Linked DNA regions of Saccharomyces cerevisiae S288C. Changing the gene in region 1 together with any one later gene gives a genetic interaction. Each region holds a gene or a part of one and is shown on either strand. Other genes may lie near its edges. The genes, in order: HTZ1, TUB3, SEM1 and UME6.

What was found.
Region 2: mutations in HTZ1 (region 1) and TUB3 together harm fitness more than expected from each alone (negative genetic interaction), as found in Saccharomyces cerevisiae (9 studies listed by BioGRID, with this or other methods).
Region 3: mutations in HTZ1 (region 1) and SEM1 together harm fitness more than expected from each alone (negative genetic interaction), as found in Saccharomyces cerevisiae (8 studies listed by BioGRID, with this or other methods).
Region 4: mutations in HTZ1 (region 1) and UME6 together harm fitness more than expected from each alone (negative genetic interaction), as found in Saccharomyces cerevisiae (5 studies listed by BioGRID, with this or other methods).

Annotation. Positions count from the first base shown.
Region 1 is NC_001147.6:300,503-305,521, reverse strand, and holds HTZ1 (histone H2AZ), read left to right. Parts: upstream 1-1,538; coding exon 1,539-1,943; downstream 1,944-5,019. Other genes in the region: PLB3 (lysophospholipase), read right to left, coding at 1-173; E3 ubiquitin-protein ligase HRD1, read left to right, coding at 2,487-4,142. UniProt on the Saccharomyces cerevisiae protein: Variant histone H2A which can replace H2A in some nucleosomes. Nucleosomes wrap and compact DNA into chromatin, limiting DNA accessibility to the cellular machineries which require DNA as a template.
Region 2 is NC_001145.3:21,548-26,639, reverse strand, and holds TUB3 (alpha-tubulin TUB3), read left to right. Parts: upstream 1-2,956; coding exon 2,957-2,981; exon of another isoform or gene 2,982-3,076; intron 3,077-3,279; coding exon 3,280-4,592; downstream 4,593-5,092. Other genes in the region: YML122C (uncharacterized protein), read left to right, coding at 222-602; phosphate transporter PHO84, read left to right, coding at 840-2,603; PGA3 (cytochrome-b5 reductase), read left to right, coding at 4,941-5,092. UniProt on the Saccharomyces cerevisiae protein: Tubulin is the major constituent of microtubules, a cylinder consisting of laterally associated linear protofilaments composed of alpha- and beta-tubulin heterodimers.
Region 3 is NC_001136.10:1,198,901-1,204,079, forward strand, and holds SEM1 (proteasome regulatory particle lid subunit SEM1), read left to right. Parts: upstream 1-3,227; coding exon 3,228-3,497; downstream 3,498-5,179. Other genes in the region: ESC2 (Esc2p), read left to right, coding at 283-1,653; CDC40 (Cdc40p), read right to left, coding at 3,943-5,179. UniProt on the Saccharomyces cerevisiae protein: Versatile protein that might stabilize multiple protein complexes involved in diverse pathways. Subunit of the 26S proteasome which plays a role in ubiquitin-dependent proteolysis.
Region 4 is NC_001136.10:863,142-870,720, reverse strand, and holds UME6 (DNA-binding transcriptional regulator UME6), read left to right. Parts: upstream 1-3,198; coding exon 3,199-5,709; downstream 5,710-7,579. Other genes in the region: MSS4 (1-phosphatidylinositol-4-phosphate 5-kinase), read right to left, coding at 158-2,497; EBS1 (Ebs1p), read right to left, coding at 6,013-7,579. UniProt on the Saccharomyces cerevisiae protein: Component of the RPD3C(L) histone deacetylase complex (HDAC) responsible for the deacetylation of lysine residues on the N-terminal part of the core histones (H2A, H2B, H3 and H4).

The DNA.
Region 1 (5,019 bases):
CTCTCATTCTGAGATATAGACGTAGCCTCTCTTACCAGATTTATGTCATCGGGACACGACACGGTGCCAGGAACATAACTATCTGTGGGCGACCACGCATTAGCGGCCAGTAGAAACTGAGAAATTGCGAATATGTAACTGATAATAATTTTTGAACATAATGGACGTATCATTACTTATATTATTATGTGTGTAATTTCCTTGCTTTTAGTCCTCTTAAAACGGCGTATTCCAAGCTGAAAAGTGAAATATTAGAACTCGTAAAACCACGTATAACTTATATAAAAGTGGATGAAAAGCGTAACAATAACATAGTAGTGTGGTAATAATGGTGATAGAATCCCTGCAAGTCTGGATCTTGCAAAAGAAGTGCCAAATTGAGTAATTCCATAGCCAAGCCATCTTAAAAGCAGGGAAAAAGAAAGAAGAGAAAAAGGCTCATTGCACAGAAGAACCAGTACAACATTCGCGGAACCGGCAAGATATTTTCGTGGAGGACTAAAGCGAAACGAAAACGGATGAAGTTGCGGTATTTCCTGATTTGGAAGTTCTATGGGGCGTCCACCGGTTTCAAAAAAAAAGGAAAAATGATTTGCGTTTTAGTCATTGAGAACGAAAGGAGGAATTGGATTACGCGGGCAGTAATATGGTGCGCGATGCTGGCGTATTAACGCGAGATGAAGGAGGCTGAAGTCAGGAAAACTCATGTGAGTGTGACGTTACCGATGACATTATGGACACTTTTAAATGGTCATGTGACGCGGTATCACAGGAGGCAAACAACTGTACTCAGCAATTTCCCGATCACCTACTAACTGCGCTCTCTTCGCCTGGTATGCTCTTTTTGCAACGCACAAAGCTTCGTATAGTATTCATTATACGATTATTAGGAGTGCTGATGACTATCGTCTGTATTCTCTGAAGTGTTTGCCGCTGTTGTGTCTTGCCTTGCAACAGCGTATGTTTACCGTTTTATATATTGCGTGGCGCGCACCCGGTGATAAGAAACATCCATGTGATAAAACTCCGCACGTTGCTTGATTAATTAACCTCGGAGGTGTTACCCGCAATCAATATGTCTGCCAGCCGCCCGCCCGCCCCGGAGAAAAGAGCTTAGGACAAGAATCACTGTCTCTTACCTTGGAATCAGGGCAGGTCCGCACAAGCGGTAGTAAGCACATACCTAAAATAGCAGTATTCTTCTTTCTTTAGAGAACGTTAGACTCAATTGAAAAGGTTTACTGAATGCATCCATGCTAGATTAGCACACAGTAACTTTACGCCCGTAACTTACTACTCGTAGAACTGGCCGCTGGTGTTCCGTAACCCGCCGCGCTCGCTCCGTGCACGAAAACAACAAAACAAAAAAAACAACAAATAAAGCATACAGCTCTATTTAACAGCTGAACTATTATCCAGTGTAATAGAGTCACAACCCCCAACTAAAAAACACTGCGGACTCTATTATACTTCAGTCGGAAAAAATATCGTTAAATTCAATTTCGCACTATAGCCGCACGTAAAAATAACTTAACATAATGTCAGGAAAAGCTCATGGAGGTAAAGGTAAATCCGGCGCTAAAGACAGTGGTTCATTGAGATCTCAATCTTCTTCAGCAAGGGCTGGCTTGCAGTTTCCTGTCGGTAGGATTAAGCGTTACCTGAAAAGGCACGCTACCGGCCGAACAAGAGTAGGATCCAAAGCTGCCATTTATTTGACTGCTGTGTTGGAATATTTGACTGCTGAAGTGCTGGAGTTGGCTGGTAATGCAGCCAAGGATCTTAAAGTCAAGAGGATTACCCCAAGACATCTGCAATTGGCCATTAGAGGTGACGATGAGTTAGATTCTTTGATCAGGGCTACAATTGCTTCAGGTGGTGTTTTGCCTCATATAAATAAAGCATTATTATTGAAAGTGGAAAAAAAGGGAAGTAAGAAATAAGAAGAATAGTTTTTCTTTCCCATTTCCCGTAATTCTCCCTGCTCCTGTATCCTCATTCTATCCATATTAACGTCTGTATCATTATTATAAGTTGAAATTTGTCTCTCCGTACCCGAGTTATATACATACATATATGTAATCTATCTCTCCTTTCACGTCTAATCTCTTATGTTTTTACTATAATATATAGCATGAAAATATACTCTCACACAATATTCCCAACGATAGCGCAGTAGCCGTTATGTACGCAGAAATTTGGTCAGGGCTTTCTTTTTGTTGAACTTTGCATACCCGGAAAAATGGAAATTAAGGACACCTACAAAAGTACACTGTAGAAATCAAATCAAAGAAAAGGTTTAATAGACGATAAATTTCCATACGTGCCGACAGGACAAAAAAAAAACCCCCCTACCATTTCTAATAACAGCTTCACCACTAGTTATACTGTCGACTTTCTACCGATTTGTTGGTTCCTTTTTATAACCAGAAAATCATCTATCAATTGCAATTTGTAAGAGAAGGGGAGAAAGACAAAATAATAATATGGTGCCAGAAAATAGAAGGAAACAGTTGGCAATTTTTGTAGTTGTCACATATTTGCTCACATTTTATTGCGTGTATTCAGCCACCAAGACAAGCGTTTCCTTTTTGCAAGTAACACTGAAGCTAAATGAAGGCTTCAATCTAATGGTTTTGTCGATATTCATCTTATTAAATTCTACCTTACTATGGCAACTCCTAACGAAACTATTATTTGGTGAACTGAGGCTTATTGAGCATGAGCACATTTTTGAAAGGTTACCATTTACCATTATAAACACCTTGTTTATGTCCTCACTGTTCCACGAACGGTATTTTTTCACAGTGGCATTTTTTGGACTATTACTACTCTATCTGAAAGTTTTCCATTGGATTTTAAAGGATAGGCTGGAGGCCTTATTACAGTCAATAAATGATTCCACCACAATGAAAACCCTTATCTTTAGTAGATTCTCATTTAACCTCGTACTATTGGCGGTTGTAGACTACCAGATAATAACACGATGCATCTCCTCCATATATACAAACCAAAAGAGTGATATTGAATCCACATCCCTTTACCTGATACAAGTAATGGAGTTTACCATGCTTTTGATTGATTTGCTAAATTTATTCCTACAGACTTGTTTGAATTTCTGGGAATTTTATCGCTCACAACAAAGTCTGTCTAATGAGAACAACCATATTGTCCATGGCGATCCTACAGATGAAAACACGGTTGAGTCTGATCAATCTCAGCCAGTGCTGAATGACGACGACGATGACGACGATGATGATAGACAATTTACCGGCCTGGAGGGTAAATTCATGTATGAAAAAGCAATTGACGTATTCACAAGATTCTTAAAAACGGCACTTCATTTGTCTATGCTAATACCATTTAGGATGCCTATGATGCTTTTGAAAGATGTGGTGTGGGATATCTTGGCACTATATCAAAGTGGCACAAGTTTGTGGAAAATCTGGAGAAATAACAAACAGCTCGACGACACTCTTGTCACTGTCACCGTAGAACAGCTACAAAATTCTGCAAATGATGACAATATTTGTATCATTTGTATGGATGAGTTAATACATTCTCCAAACCAGCAGACGTGGAAGAATAAAAACAAGAAACCCAAAAGGTTACCTTGTGGCCACATACTTCATTTGTCGTGTTTAAAGAATTGGATGGAACGTTCTCAGACTTGTCCTATTTGTAGATTGCCTGTCTTTGATGAAAAAGGTAATGTTGTGCAAACGACTTTCACTTCCAATAGTGATATCACGACACAGACCACCGTAACAGATAGCACTGGGATAGCGACAGATCAACAAGGTTTCGCAAACGAAGTAGATCTACTTCCCACAAGAACAACTTCCCCTGATATAAGGATAGTGCCTACTCAAAATATAGACACATTAGCAATGAGAACAAGGTCAACCTCTACACCATCTCCTACGTGGTATACGTTCCCATTACATAAAACTGGTGATAATTCTGTTGGGTCAAGCCGATCAGCCTACGAATTTTTGATCACAAATTCAGATGAGAAAGAAAATGGTATTCCTGTCAAATTAACAATAGAAAATCACGAAGTAAATTCTCTGCATGGAGACGGGGGCGAGCAAATTGCCAAGAAAATTGTCATACCAGATAAATTTATCCAGCATATCTAGATTGCATGTTTTATATTATACATAGTTTTTTTTAAAGAAAAAAACTACTGGATGAAAAACACACACACACACACATATATATATATTATACATCAGCGGAAATTACTCGATATCTAGAAATGCGTACACATGCTACATCGATCAGCTACGTCTGACCGAATACTTTTCAATAGTAAAAAAGGGGGCGAGCTGGGAATTGAACCCAGGGCCTCTCGCATGCTTTGTCCCCCTGTTAATCAGGAAGTCGCCCAAAGCGAGAATCATACCACTAGACCACACGCCCGATCTTTTCTGAGAACCATGAAAAGACTCAGAATTTATAATACACATCATGGCCTTCCAAAGCAACTCAGCCTATGTTGAAATGTAATTCTAGTACCATCCACTTATTATTGGTATTCATGTTACTAGTATATTATCACATACGGCATAGGAAGGTGACATAATGATTAAGGAACAGCTATCACATATAAAGGAAGCAGAAATCCTAAGGTTGATAATGCAATAGGATAATAAATGATAACATATAAAATGGAAGAAGAAGTAAACATTATCATAATATGTAGATATATCGACTCTCCTTTTGTGAATTCCTATATACTCAAGAAGAACTTCCAGCATATTTTGTATATTTAATATTATAACCTGTAACAACGATGAAATTCCAACAATTATCTCAAAATCACTCATATTTCAATTAGAGGGATAGTAATAGAAGAAGAAATCTGGTCCAAAATTCTTTTAATACTTGGATAAGTAAGTTATTCACGTAACAAAGGCTACACATTTACTATTCTTTCATGTAGAAATGCAATAAGCCATCTACGGTTCGTGGTGGAAAAATACAATAAAAAAAGAATCACCCGTAAAAAAAAGC
Region 2 (5,092 bases), on another chromosome or scaffold:
TCGGTATACTCTGCCTAATAAACCTTAATTTTCTTACAAAAAAAAAAAGATTCAATAAAAAAAGAAATGAGATCAAAAAAAAAAAAAATTAAAAAAAAAAAGAAACTAATTTATCAGCCGCTCGTTTATCAACCGTTATTACCAAATTATGAATAAAAAAACCATATTATTATGAAAAGACACAACCGGAAGGGGAGATCACAGACCTTGACCAAGAAAACATGCCAAGAAATGACAGCAATCAGTATTACGCACGTTGGTGCTGTTATAGGCGCCCTATACGTGCAGCATTTGCTCGTAAGGGCCCTTTCAACTCATCTAGCGGCTATGAAGAAAATGTTGCCCGGCTGAAAAACACCCGTTCCTCTCACTGCCGCACCGCCCGATGCCAATTTAATAGTTCCACGTGGACGTGTTATTTCCAGCACGTGGGGCGGAAATTAGCGACGGCAATTGATTATGGTTCGCCGCAGTCCATCGAAATCAGTGAGATCGGTGCAGTTATGCACCAAATGTCGTGTGAAAGGCTTTCCTTATCCCTCTTCTCCCGTTTTGCCTGCTTATTAGCTAGATTAAAAACGTGCGTATTACTCATTAATTAACCGACCTCATCTATGAGCTAATTATTATTCCTTTTTGGCAGCATGATGCAACCACATTGCACACCGGTAATGCCAACTTAGATCCACTTACTATTGTGGCTCGTATACGTATATATATAAGCTCATCCTCATCTCTTGTATAAAGTAAAGTTCTAAGTTCACTTCTAAATTTTATCTTTCCTCATCTCGTAGATCACCAGGGCACACAACAAACAAAACTCCACGAATACAATCCAAATGAGTTCCGTCAATAAAGATACTATTCATGTTGCTGAAAGAAGTCTTCATAAAGAACACCTTACCGAAGGTGGTAACATGGCCTTCCACAACCATTTGAATGATTTTGCTCATATTGAAGATCCTCTGGAAAGAAGAAGATTGGCTTTGGAGTCCATCGATGACGAAGGTTTCGGTTGGCAACAAGTTAAGACCATCTCCATTGCTGGTGTTGGTTTCTTGACAGATTCTTATGATATTTTTGCCATTAATTTGGGTATCACTATGATGTCCTACGTTTACTGGCACGGTAGTATGCCAGGTCCAAGTCAAACCTTGTTGAAGGTTTCCACTTCTGTTGGTACTGTTATTGGTCAATTTGGTTTTGGTACTTTAGCTGATATTGTTGGTCGTAAGAGAATTTATGGTATGGAACTTATTATCATGATTGTCTGTACCATTCTGCAAACCACTGTTGCTCATTCTCCTGCTATTAACTTCGTTGCTGTTTTAACATTCTACCGTATTGTCATGGGTATTGGTATCGGTGGTGACTACCCACTATCTTCTATTATTACTTCTGAATTTGCCACTACCAAATGGAGAGGTGCCATCATGGGTGCTGTCTTTGCTAACCAAGCTTGGGGTCAAATCTCCGGTGGTATCATCGCTCTTATCTTGGTTGCTGCTTACAAGGGCGAACTAGAATACGCAAACTCTGGTGCTGAATGTGATGCTAGATGTCAAAAGGCTTGTGACCAAATGTGGAGAATCCTTATTGGGTTGGGTACCGTTCTAGGGTTGGCATGTTTGTATTTCAGATTAACTATTCCAGAATCTCCTAGATATCAATTGGATGTTAACGCTAAGTTGGAACTTGCTGCTGCCGCACAAGAACAAGATGGCGAAAAGAAAATTCACGACACCAGTGATGAAGACATGGCAATTAACGGTTTGGAAAGAGCTTCTACTGCCGTCGAATCTCTTGACAATCATCCTCCAAAGGCTTCGTTCAAAGATTTCTGCAGACATTTTGGTCAATGGAAGTACGGTAAGATTTTGCTAGGTACTGCTGGTTCATGGTTTACCTTAGATGTTGCTTTCTACGGGTTGAGTTTAAACAGTGCTGTTATTCTGCAAACCATCGGTTATGCCGGTTCCAAAAACGTTTACAAGAAACTGTATGATACTGCTGTCGGTAATCTGATTTTGATTTGTGCTGGTTCATTACCTGGTTACTGGGTATCCGTCTTCACTGTCGATATAATCGGTAGAAAACCAATTCAATTAGCCGGTTTCATCATCTTGACCGCTTTGTTCTGTGTCATCGGTTTCGCATACCATAAACTTGGTGACCATGGTCTGTTGGCTCTTTACGTCATTTGTCAATTCTTCCAAAACTTCGGTCCAAACACAACCACCTTTATTGTTCCTGGTGAGTGTTTCCCAACTCGTTACAGATCTACTGCTCATGGTATTTCTGCTGCATCTGGTAAGGTCGGTGCCATTATTGCACAAACCGCTTTGGGTACTCTAATCGACCATAACTGTGCTAGAGACGGTAAGCCAACCAACTGTTGGTTACCTCACGTCATGGAAATTTTCGCCTTATTCATGTTGTTGGGTATCTTCACAACCTTGTTGATCCCAGAAACTAAGAGAAAGACTCTAGAAGAAATTAACGAGCTATACCACGATGAAATCGATCCTGCTACGCTAAACTTCAGAAACAAGAATAATGACATTGAATCTTCCAGCCCATCTCAACTTCAACATGAAGCATAAAAGCCTCAAAGATGCACTAAAACTTGTAAACTAGAACAAATAATACAAAAACATTTTTATAAACTTATTATCAAACCCCTTACATAATCTATAAATACTGTCAGGTTACATATTTATTCGATAATTTCTTTTAATTTCATTATTTCCTCACATCTCTCTGCCATCCTGTTGGCTGGTGCCAGAGCAGAGCATATCGTCCTTTCTTTTTTAGTTCCAGACGTTACCCGACATATCATTTCTCGAGCCTCTGGAAACCACGAAACGTTTTACAAATTGCACATCTAAAAGAAATATAAACACAGATCAGGTATCTCATAAAGTACATTAATCGACTAAGCAAGCGACTTGAGACAATGAGAGAGGTCATTAGTATTAATGGTATGTATGCGTTCCTTTTTTTGTTCAATATTCGCAACCAATGGCACCTGTGGGACAGGGAAAGAAGTTTGATCTGATCTGGTTTGATTCATTCCCAATTGGTCACCATCTGGTTGATTTACGGCAAATAATTTGACTTGTACCAGCACAGTTTACTAACAGTTTCTTTTTCTCCATTTTTTCTGGGCATACTCGGACGAAAAAGCTCATAATTGACCTCATTACATGGGGAGTGATTTTTGTGTCTTCTTCTTCGGAGGATTGCTGGAACTTTTGTTATTTTTCTTTTTTACAACAGTTGGTCAAGCAGGTTGTCAAATAGGTAATGCATGCTGGGAATTGTACTCCCTAGAGCATGGCATCAAGGAAGACGGCCATTTGGAGGATGGCTTGTCAAAACCTAAGGGAGGTGAAGAAGGATTTTCTACATTCTTCCATGAAACGGGGTACGGAAAATTCGTCCCAAGAGCAATCTACGTGGATTTAGAGCCCAATGTTATCGATGAAGTACGTACAGGACGTTTCAAGGAGCTTTTCCATCCAGAACAATTGATTAACGGTAAGGAAGATGCCGCCAATAACTACGCAAGAGGCCATTATACAGTGGGTAGAGAAATAGTGGATGAAGTTGAAGAAAGAATTAGAAAGATGGCCGACCAATGTGACGGTTTACAAGGGTTCTTGTTCACCCACTCCCTCGGTGGTGGAACTGGTTCCGGTTTAGGTTCCCTGTTATTAGAAAACTTATCGTATGAATACGGGAAGAAATCCAAATTGGAATTCGCCGTTTATCCTGCGCCTCAATTGTCTACTTCCGTCGTGGAACCTTACAACACGGTTTTAACCACGCATACCACCCTGGAACACGCAGACTGTACGTTTATGGTCGATAACGAAGCCATTTACGATATATGCAAGAGGAACTTGGGAATTTCTAGACCAAGCTTCAGCAACTTGAACGGGTTGATTGCCCAAGTGATATCATCTGTTACAGCCTCTTTGAGGTTCGATGGTTCATTAAACGTGGATTTGAACGAATTTCAGACCAACTTGGTACCATATCCAAGAATTCATTTCCCTTTGGTTTCCTACGCACCCATCTTGTCCAAGAAGAGGGCCACCCATGAATCCAACTCCGTGTCAGAAATCACAAACGCTTGTTTCGAACCGGGCAATCAAATGGTTAAGTGTGACCCAACAAAGGGGAAGTACATGGCTAACTGTTTGTTATACAGAGGTGACGTGGTGACCAGAGATGTCCAAAGAGCCGTCGAACAGGTGAAGAATAAAAAAACAGTACAAATGGTGGATTGGTGTCCAACAGGATTTAAGATTGGTATTTGTTATGAGCCACCAAGTGTGATACCAAGTTCCGAATTAGCCAATGTGGATAGAGCTGTCTGCATGCTATCCAACACCACTGCCATCGCGGACGCTTGGAAGAGAATCGATCAGAAATTCGACCTGATGTATGCCAAACGTGCTTTCGTCCATTGGTATGTCGGTGAAGGTATGGAAGAAGGTGAGTTCACCGAAGCTAGAGAAGATTTAGCTGCCTTAGAAAGAGATTATATTGAAGTGGGTGCCGATTCTTACGCTGAGGAGTTCTAAGAAAGTGGCTCTGATCCCGATACCCACTTATAGATTTATATTTACTTAATGTCCATATGTATATACATATATATATATATATATATATACGCTTATATATATATATGCATATTCTATCCAAATAAAGATACCTCTAATTATCGAATTATTTTTCACTTACCTTTAGGTGTACAGTTAGAACAATAGCTTATTAAATTTATTTTTTTCCCTATGTTCCGCGGAATATTGAAAAATTTGAAAATATTCTAAGACAAAAATACCCATAAAAAACAAAGAGTTTTGAGCTCATCTCGTTGCCACCCAAACTTATCACAAAAAAGGAAGCACTCCAAGAACCGCGTGAAGAAAATGTCAAAAGAAGACATAGAAGGAACTAACATTCTAGACGAACCTGTCCACGGGATCTATATTCCTGCCGCGCTATTCGTTGTTGGTGTTGCAATCACCACGTATATGTCTGGTGAATTGAAAATCCTGTGGAGTTTACCCATTCTCTTCAT
Region 3 (5,179 bases), on another chromosome or scaffold:
GAACCGCAGCTTTCCGGGTGATACTGAATCCCTTCTATTTCCTTACAGAAGACAGCAAATTTTATTGTAGCATATAAGAAAAGAAATGACAGGCAGAGGAGGGACCAGCATGCCTATGAATTCCCAATACCATATATCACTTTGACAGCGTATATCGCAATTGAAATAGAACAACTTTTCATTATTACTTCAGAATTCATTTTAAAGTGATTGCGAACACGGATTATAGCCCTGAACAATAAAAGGCAAGAGAAAAAATCATTTGTTTTAGGCTGTTAACAGATGACCGGTGATTCCAGAAGCATCAGCGAACCCTCAATTAATCTAGATCCAGATAATACAAGTTTTTCTGATGAAAACAGCGATGACTTCTTTATGGACAATTCCTATGATATAGATGAAATCGATCATAGCGATGAAAGTAATAGGCAAAGTGTCATAGTTGACTCTAAAGTCACGGTACCGCCATCAAAGCATTCAACTCTAACATTATCTGATAGTGAAGATAGCGACGCAAAGGAACAACATCAGTCCCTGAGCAGATCATCTAGTAAAAATGTAAATATAGAAGATATTACGGAGCCCAAGCCAGACAAACCATCGGGTCGAACTAGAGGAAGATCTGTGATGAAAGAGTCTGTAGTTGAAATAAACTCATCTGAATCTGACTTAGACGAAGACAAAAATTTTCCCAGATCTAGGTCAAGGTCCAGGTCAAGCATAAGATCAATATCTCCAGCGGGAAAATACAAGCGACAGAAAAGTTCATTACTGTATACCTATGATGAAAACGATGACTTTTTCAAGGAACTTGCTAAAGAAGCCAAAAAAAGCACCACTATTTCTAAAGAATCGACACCCGACCAGCGGAAGCGAGTTTATAACATCAAATTTCTCTCTAAGCTAGAAGGAACTATAAATAAAGCGGTCCAAGTGAAGGTCCTCGGAAAATACGAATTTTCAAAAATACTTCCTGCTGCTTTGGACGGATTGATGAAGTCCTATAAAATTCCGAAGGTAATGAAAGATATATACAAGGTAGAGAATGTTACTCTTTATTGGAACAATGCAAAATTACTCACTTTTATGACTTGTAATTCGCTACATATCCCACAGGATTTTGAAAATGAAGTCTCTGATATCGATGTTACTATCGTATCCAAAGAATACGAAAAGAACTTTGAAGCGACACTGGAATCAAAGTTAAAGGAAGAAGAAGCTGCTTTACTCATAAAAGAACGTCAGGAGATGGAAAGGAAGTTAGAGAAAAAGAGAAATGAACAAGAAGAGTCCGAATATCGCGAGTTTGAATCCGAATTAAAAAACGTAGAAGAAACACAAGAAATAAAAGAAAATGATACAGTTATGAATACAAAACTTCTGCAAGAGGGTGGCTCTTTGTCAGGAAATAGTAGTAGCATGGAAGAAGTTATGAGAATCGCTCTCATGGGTCAAGATAACAAAAAAATCTATGTCCATGTTAGGCGTTCAACACCATTTTCTAAAATTGCCGAATATTACAGAATCCAGAAACAGTTACCACAAAAGACGAGGGTTAAATTACTTTTTGATCATGATGAATTGGACATGAATGAGTGTATAGCCGATCAGGATATGGAAGATGAAGACATGGTTGATGTCATTATTGATTGAGCGCAATTTGCTAAAAAAGGCCGAACTCCGGCTCTTTACGTGCCACAATTATTATTTACTATGGGCGGCGGGTGTGTTGGTGGTGCTTGCGGTACTTGTAAAATATTTTCTGAATATAATTGAATAAGACCTTTTGTGTTTAAATCATACTCGGGTAATTCTCTGTTCAAAAAGTAGGTGCTGACCCTCTTCTACCTTCCGTGAAATATTATAAAGGAATTTTTCCATCTCTAACTCAACATGTTAACGCTTTTCTATAAAAATTTGATCGCCTAATGAATACAAAAATCTCTTCAGCTTTTTCGTGCTAGGTTTGAATAGTACATCTAACGTAGAACAACTATCAAAACAATTTGATATTTCCTCGGCTATAGTTTTCTTGGAACAAGAGGTAAACTACTTCTCTATTGTTGCTACAGCAGTCAATTAAAATAATTCGTTTCATCATAATATTATGATATCAACGCTAAAAGGTTGTATAAATTACGAGATCAGCAGAAAATAAAATTCAAGCCATCATCCTTTAAGGTGATTTGAAGGGCAAGAATTGGTAGTGTAACTGCATCAATGAGTGATTAGGTGAAAACGAAGAAAAATAATAAATATGGTACTGTGCAGAATTGTTGATTTTCTTTTTTGAACTCTAAACCATCAAGAATGGCTTTCACCCACTATTGTTACACATAGTACTATTACTTACACCAAGATGGGATCCGACAAATATCTCAACACTATATTGGTCTACATGCTTTATCGATTGCTCCTTATTTACGTATTTCTATAAATAGGGCGTACTTTACCAACAGTGATCATGGATGCAAAAAATGTGAATACATTTATATGGAAAAAAGGTTTATATCAATATATTTTAAAGTGATTGAAAATTACTGATGTGTTTGATATTGTTGGAATAAGAATCAACCATCATATACCCGACTAACGTTCATATTATTAGTAAACTATCATATACAACCTAAGAAGTTGACATAAAGATTGACAAGCAGTTACCATTTTTAGTAGAAGTTGAAAAGCAAGAATTGATAACCAAATATTGTTTTCCAACAATGCAATCCCAACCCTATCTCAATATTCATAGAATTCACTTATTTCTCAGTTTAATACATGATGATGCATCTTGATATTGAGAAATTATATGTATTATCCCTTTTTAACCTTTAAAAGGTCACAAATAAATAGCCTTGTTGGCGCAATCGGTAGCGCGTATGACTCTTAATCATAAGGTTAGGGGTTCGAGCCCCCTACAGGGCTAATAACACATTCAAAATGTTATAAATTTTTTTTCGGGTTTGTGTTTAAAACTAACCTTCTAAAGAAAACAATAAAAATTATATCAACATTTCCTCATGTCTTTGTAACCTACTAGTAGGGATTTTGAAGGGCTGAAAGCTTCTTAGTTCTGTCGGATCCATTATATTATCATTATTTACGAAACTAGTGCTATGGGTGGCGAACGTGGTGGGCGTTACCTTTTAAAGTCCTAATGGAAACCTACCTATGCATAAAGTGAATAGAGTGGCAATAAAAGTCGAATAATAGTACAAATACGCAAAAATATGAGTACGGACGTTGCTGCTGCACAAGCCCAAAGTAAAATAGATTTAACAAAAAAAAAAAATGAGGAAATAAATAAGAAGTCTCTAGAGGAAGACGATGAATTTGAAGATTTCCCCATTGACACATGGGCCAATGGTGAAACAATAAAAAGCAATGCTGTAACGCAAACAAACATATGGGAAGAAAACTGGGATGATGTTGAAGTTGACGACGATTTCACCAATGAATTGAAGGCCGAATTGGATAGATACAAACGGGAAAATCAGTGAGGGGCTACATAACATTATTTCTAAATAACGCAAAAGGAAATTATACGTCTAATGTTACTTTAGTACATTGTTGTCATACTAGTATATTTTGCTTAGATGATAAAATAAATAATAAAAAGAGATACGAAAGGCTATGCGGTAGTCGATTATATGGCCTTGTAGTATAATAATGATGCACGCAAAGTATTAAATAACTCAGCTGAGATTTCTCATTTCTTTAAATGCAGTCTCAGTTTAAAAAATTAACTATATTAAGATCCGCTCTTTCTACCATATGATGCAAATGTGTCCTCGAACTAGTACTTGCAATTTCAGGTAACCCCAATCGTTTCTTTATTATTGTCATTTTTACTATCATAATAATATCATCCGTAATAACAATTAAGTAACAAATCACATCCATGTAACCATTTAATTTGTTTCAAGTAACATTCCGAGTGAATAGCTAGTCACATACATATATCTTACCTGCCGCTCCGCTGCAAATGACTTTACTTGTTTCTTGAGGATGCCAGTCCACTTGAGTTATAGGCTTGTTGCCTGGAATCTTGATGTTATTTAATAAGCGCGACGTATTCCAATCCCAAGTAAATAGTCTGCTTTTTGAATCGCCTGAACATATGTAACGACCATCACCAGAAAAAGCCAAGCTTATCCCATAACCAGCAGATGAATGCCCTTTAAATATCTTTTTTGGATGCCTCTTATATTTGGGTTTCAAACTGAAAGAATATATTCTATTATCCATGCTTTGTGCACAGAAATAGTTCTGAGACGGATGTACATTTAAAAATGGCATAGAATGTTGAGCCGTGTCACTTATTTGTTTTATTGGTACATTGATCTGATTTTCCCAAATTCTTACCGTCTTATCCTCTGAAGAAGAAATAAACTTCGAACCATCGGGAAAATACTTGAGAGCCAGAATGCTACTTAGGTGATGATCATATGTCTGCACAAGACCTTGATTTTCTGAAACACGATCATCATAATGTAATATTTTCGAATTCGATAAACCTACAATGAACTCATGTGGGTTAGTGGGCCGAGATTCAACATCTGCAGGCGTTGAATTAAGGTGCAACCTGGTTTTCACTTTACCAGTTTCAGTATCCCAAATTTTAACGCTTCTATCAAAGGAAGAGCTCAAAAAAGATTGACAGTCTTCGGTGAATCGTAATGCTTTAATAGGCTTGTTATGACCTTGAAAATCTCGTAGGCATTCATAGTCATGGTAGAAATCCCAAATTTTTATAGTATGATCATTACCACCAGAGAGAATTAAGTGTCCAGTTTTAGGTAAGAATTTCAGGGCAGTGGTTCCTTCTGGATGCCCCGGATAATTACGTATAACTTTTTTTGGTAAGTAACACCGAAAGGATATCCTTTCCTCACGAAGATCAACATCGACGTCATTTGGTGGATATAAATATCCTCTGCCTTGATAGTCCTTTTCTGATTTACCATAAAAATGGGAGACTTCCTCTACCTCTATCTGTTCCGAATCTAGGTTGTCCTCAGCCAGCGCGTGCACGAAGATATCCTGATCTTCTTTCTGAGTTTCGCTGGCTTGTGAAGTTTCATCGTCACTACTTGACCAACTGCCCCACGGCCCATCTCCTTTGCGAGTTTTCCGTCTTCTTTTTAGTTCTGACTTTGTAAAATGTGATTTTCTCTTATGA
Region 4 (7,579 bases), on another chromosome or scaffold:
AAGAAAAAAAAAAAGCAAAAATAGAAAATAAGAAAAGGATTGAAATTAAAATATTAAAATTAAAGGGAAAAGAATAGATTTATATAACTTGAATTAAATTAAATCAAAGTAGATTAGACTGAGTACATAGACGATAGGTTATTTACCTGTGCCCTACTCAGTCTTTATAATTTTTCTGGTTAGGGTCGTCTCTATACGACGATTGAGTTTTTTTCTGGGGCAGAGGATCTACAGAATCTTCTATGAATTCGTAAAACCTATTGGCGTAGTCTCTTGGAGGTATGGCACTCACCAACTTGGTATCATGGCGTAGACTTCTCCAAAACGTTTCTAATTTCTTCATAACTGAGTAATTAGTCAAGAAATCGATTATCCCCACGTAATAAATCAAATCCACATCATTGTTGAATTGATCAGATGCTCGAATTCCACCTTCAAACTCTCTAAAAAAATGTCGTACTACCGTTCCGGTACCGGTTCTTATGGGTCCTTGAGTCTGTGGTTGCTCCTCAATAGATGCCGTATCCGCCAATTGTAAGTCGTCTTCTTTAGCTTTATTGATGTCATGAATGCCAATTAACAAGGAATAGTCCATTGTATTCAATTTAGCAAGCAATTCCACATCTTTTTTCAGCTGTGTCAAAAAAGTCTTCTTCTTCAATGGACCGAATTTAATTTTCTGACCTTCTTCAAGCCAATTTAAATCTTTCATCACAGGCCTATATGATCTATCTTTCGCCAACCTTTCTTTATCCAAATTGGTAAAACGGCCCCATGTGGAACCTTTTAAATCATAAGTAATGTGAATGTCTAAGTGTGGTGGAAATAAGTTATTCATGACTAGGAAGTAAATTTTCCGATGCTTAATTTTATTTTGAAACGATATAGGCATTTTCACTCTATGCAAACCATAAAATTGACAAATCAAAGTGTTTGGATTGTCTCTTACATGGTTATAGTATTCTTGTATGTGCTTTCTCAGATGAATATGCTCAGAATGATGTATGGTCTTGATAATATATTTGTAATCTCTCGAATAATAAAAAAATGAACCACTTTTACCTGGCGAGTTCAACTCACTCAAAATGTACTTGGAAGTTAACGAAACCAAATAATCAGCAGGGTCTAAGCCGAATAATGCACGAAGTTCCCTAAAGACTTCGGGACAGTAGTCCTTAAACTTAAATGCATACTGAGAAGAAGGGGTCAATTCATTTCCGTGATAATCAAAGGCAAGCTTCTTCGTAAATCTAAAGTCTGCCGGAGTTAAAGGTTTCATTATGCCAGAACAACGTGACACTGCGACACGAATACCAGTTAGCATGTTATAAGCTATAATAAAGTTGACATGGCCTTCACTGACTTTATTACCGATCAAAACACGATCGTCATCCACCAAAAATGTTTTTCTTTTCCTTTTCATTTCTCTTTTATGCAGCAAAGATTGTCTCATCTTCTTAATTTCTGCCGTTGCAGACTCTGATCTTTTCAGACCCGTAGCAGCGGTAGTAGTAGTAGTATTATTATTAACAGCAGCAGCATTAGCAGCGTGATTATGGTTGGTGCCACGACTGTGTTGATAGTAGTGGTCATTCTCTGGCGGCAAAGAAGTGGTTGATTTGGATATCATATGATATTGCTTTGACTTTTGAGAAGGTTGTGGAAGTGGGTGAAGAGGCAAAGAAGTCATTGAGTGACTAATTTTAGTAGCAGAATTTGGTTTCATGCTGGTATCTCCATTGGCCAATTTTATTACATCTGAATCATCCATAGGTAGAATTTGAGAATGCTTGGAAGCGTGAAAGGGAATATTGGGCAGGTTTGAATCCTGAGTATTTCTTCTTTGCTTAATTGTCGTGGAAGTTGCTGTTACTGCCGATATTCTGGAAGATCGCCTCGAAACGCGCTTGTTTAGTAAAATATGATCGTCATTTAAGTCTTGTATATACGAATCTGTGTGAACAAGACTGGAATTGTCCAAATCCAAACAATTATTCGAGTTTAACGAGGGTGTTGTTATTTTCTTCGACTCCTTACCTTCGGGAAAACTATATTTCTGCATTTCCTTGTTACTAGTGCTATTTGGTCGGGGAGAAGTTATGGTGTTTGGATGATCATCATCCGTATTATTATTGCTGTTGTCATGCAAAGGATCAATTGATATTGAGTAGTTTCTCTTCACCAGCCTCGAATTATTTATTGTTGGGTTTAACTCTTCAATAGAGGTCGGAGTGGAAGACTCACCATCTGACAAGCGAGGACTTTCCATGTTTGACTCCGAATTCGATGAAGAATGGTAGCTAGTGTGATTATTGCGATCCTTTTTTATTCGATGGTTCGAATCCGGATTCGAATTCGAATTCGGCACCGAACGGTCTTGATGTCGCTCAATTATTGCAGAGTGCAATAGCGATGGTTCCTGTTCTGTTTTGCGACTGGTGGATGTTGTCAGATGTAGCGGTACAACTGAAGGAGGTTGTGATCGCAAGACTGACATGAGTTAGAAACTATTGATAGGGAAAAGCGATATAGGGCAACTGTCTCGGGGGGTGTAAACAGGTTTCGTACTCTCTTGCTTATGAATGTGCTACTTCTTGTTCCTATTTTTTGTTTCTGTCCTTGTTTTTTCTTTGCTTGTCCCTCCGTATTTGCTTCTTTGTTGTCACGCTTTTGTTATTTCCACCTCTATCTTTCCTCTCTGTCCCATTCCCCATCCATTCCTTTCTTTTTTTTTTTAACCTGTGTTTTGTTTTCCCAGAATGGGCGGCACGTTCTTATGTCCGTAAAAACGGATATACAAAAGCGACACGTCGTCTGAGGTGACACTCCACTCAACCCCACTTGCCCAAAACATGCATTGCTACAAGTAGTAGAGCGCAGTTTTTAAAGTCCATTGGTTGCACACGAAATCACGAGAATAATCACGAGAATAGAATGCACGTTGGATTTCGGGCATCCTATAATTGCCAAGACTGCGCTACTTCTCTTCTGTTTCGGTCCGGGTGACACGTCCGCCGTGCTTCAAGGCGCCTTTTCACCAATGCCAGGCGGAAACTGCCGCCGTCAAAAAGAAAAATGAAAAGAACATAGAGGACAAGGACAAGAGACCAGTGATCGTAAGAAGCGCCCACCTTCGCACAGCGCACAGGAACTAGGACACTACCGCACTCAAACCATTTGCATGGACCTTAACTCACGATGCTAGACAAGGCGCGCTCTCAAAGCAAACACATGGACGAATCTAATGCGGCTGCCTCTCTGCTTTCGATGGAAACAACCGCCAACAATCATCACTATTTGCACAATAAAACATCTCGTGCCACGCTGATGAATAGCAGCCAAGACGGCAAAAAACATGCAGAAGATGAAGTTAGTGATGGAGCTAACTCCCGCCATCCTACAATTTCCAGTGCTAGCATCGAATCTCTCAAGACAACCTACGATGAAAACCCTTTGCTTTCTATTATGAAATCGACATGTGCGCCCAACAACACTCCCGTGCATACTCCGTCTGGTTCGCCGAGTTTGAAAGTCCAAAGTGGCGGAGATATCAAAGACGATCCTAAGGAAAACGATACTACTACTACGACCAATACTACACTTCAAGATCGCCGTGACAGCGATAACGCTGTGCATGCTGCCGCCAGCCCACTCGCGCCTTCCAATACACCTTCGGATCCTAAGTCATTGTGCAATGGCCATGTCGCACAGGCTACAGACCCACAAATTTCCGGTGCTATTCAGCCGCAGTATACTGCAACCAACGAGGATGTTTTCCCTTACTCCTCCACCTCCACTAATAGTAACACTGCCACTACTACTATCGTCGCCGGCGCCAAAAAAAAAATACATTTGCCGCCACCACAAGCTCCAGCGGTTTCTTCCCCCGGTACCACCGCAGCAGGCTCGGGCGCGGGCACGGGCTCGGGCATCCGTTCCCGCACAGGATCGGATTTGCCGCTCATCATTACCAGCGCCAACAAGAACAACGGTAAGACTACCAATTCGCCTATGTCGATACTGAGCAGAAACAACAGTACCAACAACAACGACAATAATTCGATACAAAGCTCAGATTCGAGAGAATCCTCTAATAACAATGAGATTGGCGGGTATTTGCGCGGCGGAACTAAGCGCGGCGGCAGTCCATCTAACGACTCTCAGGTCCAGCATAATGTGCATGATGACCAATGTGCCGTGGGCGTGGCGCCCAGGAACTTCTATTTCAACAAGGATAGAGAGATAACAGACCCAAATGTAAAACTGGACGAGAACGAATCAAAAATCAACATATCGTTCTGGCTAAATTCGAAATACAGAGATGAGGCTTATTCTTTGAATGAATCATCCTCCAACAATGCTAGTTCAAACACGGATACGCCTACAAACTCTCGACATGCGAACACCAGCTCTTCCATTACCAGCAGAAACAATTTCCAGCATTTTAGGTTCAACCAAATACCTTCTCAACCTCCAACTTCCGCATCTTCGTTTACAAGCACAAACAACAACAACCCTCAACGGAACAATATCAATCGCGGTGAAGACCCGTTTGCCACTTCGTCAAGACCTTCTACTGGGTTTTTTTACGGCGATTTGCCGAATCGTAACAATAGAAATAGTCCCTTCCATACAAATGAACAATACATCCCACCACCTCCACCGAAATACATCAATTCTAAATTGGATGGATTGAGATCAAGATTATTGCTCGGTCCGAATTCTGCATCTTCATCTACCAAACTAGACGACGACTTGGGTACAGCAGCAGCAGTGCTATCAAACATGAGATCATCCCCATATAGAACTCATGATAAACCCATTTCCAATGTCAATGACATGAATAACACAAATGCGCTCGGTGTGCCGGCTAGTAGGCCTCATTCGTCATCTTTTCCATCAAAGGGTGTCTTAAGACCAATTCTGTTACGTATCCATAATTCCGAACAACAACCCATTTTCGAAAGCAACAATTCTACAGCTGTTTTTGATGAAGACCAGGACCAAAATCAAGACTTGTCTCCTTACCATTTAAATCTAAACTCTAAAAAGGTTTTAGATCCCACTTTTGAGTCAAGGACAAGGCAAGTTACTTGGAATAAGAATGGTAAGCGAATAGACAGACGCCTTTCTGCTCCAGAACAACAACAGCAACTGGAAGTTCCACCATTGAAAAAATCGAGAAGGTCAGTTGGAAACGCAAGAGTAGCAAGCCAAACCAATAGCGATTATAATTCTCTTGGCGAATCCTCAACTTCGTCAGCTCCATCGTCTCCATCTTTGAAGGCTTCTTCTGGCTTGGCATATACCGCTGATTATCCTAACGCTACTTCGCCGGATTTCGCTAAATCTAAAGGAAAAAATGTCAAGCCTAAGGCAAAATCAAAGGCGAAACAGTCATCAAAGAAAAGACCAAATAATACTACTTCGAAATCAAAAGCAAACAATTCTCAAGAATCGAATAATGCTACTTCCTCAACGTCTCAAGGTACAAGGTCCCGTACTGGTTGCTGGATTTGTAGATTAAGGAAAAAGAAGTGTACCGAGGAAAGACCGCACTGTTTCAACTGTGAAAGGTTGAAATTGGACTGTCACTATGACGCGTTCAAACCAGATTTTGTATCTGATCCAAAGAAAAAACAGATGAAACTGGAGGAAATCAAGAAAAAAACAAAAGAGGCCAAAAGAAGAGCAATGAAAAAAAAATAAAAGCTCACTGAAAAAAAAAAAGAGATATTGTTACTATTATTATTATTATTACTGTCATTAATACTATACTAATAAAGAAAAGGAAAATACGCATAATAATATTTAATTAACAATAATATAACATATATATATATATATATATATGTATGTACTACCATGTAATTTCAAAGACTTTCAAAAGAAGTTATACGTCAATTCTCGTGTACAAATCAGTCAAACTGTAATTCATTCGTACTGATAAGCCAAATTTCTACCTAGTATTCATATGAAGATTTGAAAAACTATGATAAAAAACGAACAATATTAAAACATATTATTCCGACTGTTTCCCCTCATGCTGTCCGTGTTGCTTTGGGCGTCAAAAGGAAATTGCATGTACTTCCCCACATCTTGCTGCATAGGTTGTTGAAACATTTGCCGTTGCGCTTGCGCATATGCTGACGACGGCGCAGATGTCTGGTACTGGTCACCTAGCCACGTTGGATTTGCAAAATTCATTGACTTTAATGAGTAAGCTTCGCTCTGCCATTGTAAATTTTGTGCATTATAAGGCGGAAAGACCCCTTGCCCCTGCTGGTTCAAAAAAGGATAGGGATAGGATACCATGGAGGCAGATGGAGGCATCGAGGCATTCTGATACGCGGAGTTTAATGAAGACATCGATGAAGGTTGCTGTGATGAATACAGACCACCTTGCATTGGCCTCTGGGCTTGATGGCAGACGTCATTCGCTGGAATTTGTTCATTCACCCCTTGCATGGATTTGGCAAATGATTTTTCCGCGTGCTTTTGTTGCATTGAAGATAGGATGTTGTTCAAATCGAAGGATGATTCATCTGTCGAATTTGAAGAAGAGATCGCTGCGTTACTGTAACCAGGAGATATATTCGTAATAGCGCCATCGGCGTTTTGACCGCTTAGTTCGATTTTTAACAGTTCTACATTTACTTTGTTCCCCGTTATTGTACCGCTGGGCTTAACATTGAACGTATCTGGGGCCATAGGTACAGACGAACCACTATAACCCATAGTTGGAGAAAAAGAATCCAAAGAGCTACTTCTCATTTGTCTCTCCAAATCCGCCATGGATATTGAGCCATTAGTGGTCGAAGGTTTGTTTTTTCTTTGTAACTTGGCCTTTTCATTGGATTGCTTCGATGTCTTCATACTATTTTTAACGGTCTCCTTAAATCCAATTTTCTTATTAAAGATATAACGTGATTTATTATCTGACCATTCTACTCCGCAGTTGTTGTTCTGCAATAATTGCGAACTTATATTCACAACAGCCTGCAACCTTAACAGCATTTCAGATGATGCCGATAACTTGTCGCATAATGGCGGATTACCAATTAATCTATCGAGACTATGATCCATTTCAAGAATTTTTTCATAATCGTCAAAATCAGATAGTTGAAAGTTAACGAATGATAAACCCTTCACCATTAAGTCTTCTTCGAACCAGTATGTCCTTTTAGGAATATGTTCTGTTATACTAAAAGAAGGACTTGGTTTTTTTTTCACAATATCATTTATCAAGTATGCCAAGGCATTAACAAACTCTAGATTACTTTGTGAATATTGAAGAACCATGGGATTTGCTTTTATCCAACAATTGATAATTCTTACCATACCTAGAATTTCTGAAACCTCAGGATTTTCGCTCCATGATTCCTTAACGATATCATTTAAAATGTGAGCAATATACTTGAATGCAAAATTTAGGTAATCCAATTCATTGCTACGTAAATCCTTCAAGGTTTTTGCACTTACATCGGAACGCCTTTTTAATAATAGATGGAACCCACCAATTGTAATGATCAAATTGTGAAAGATGGTCTTAATATTATTCAGGTATCTTGCTGACATC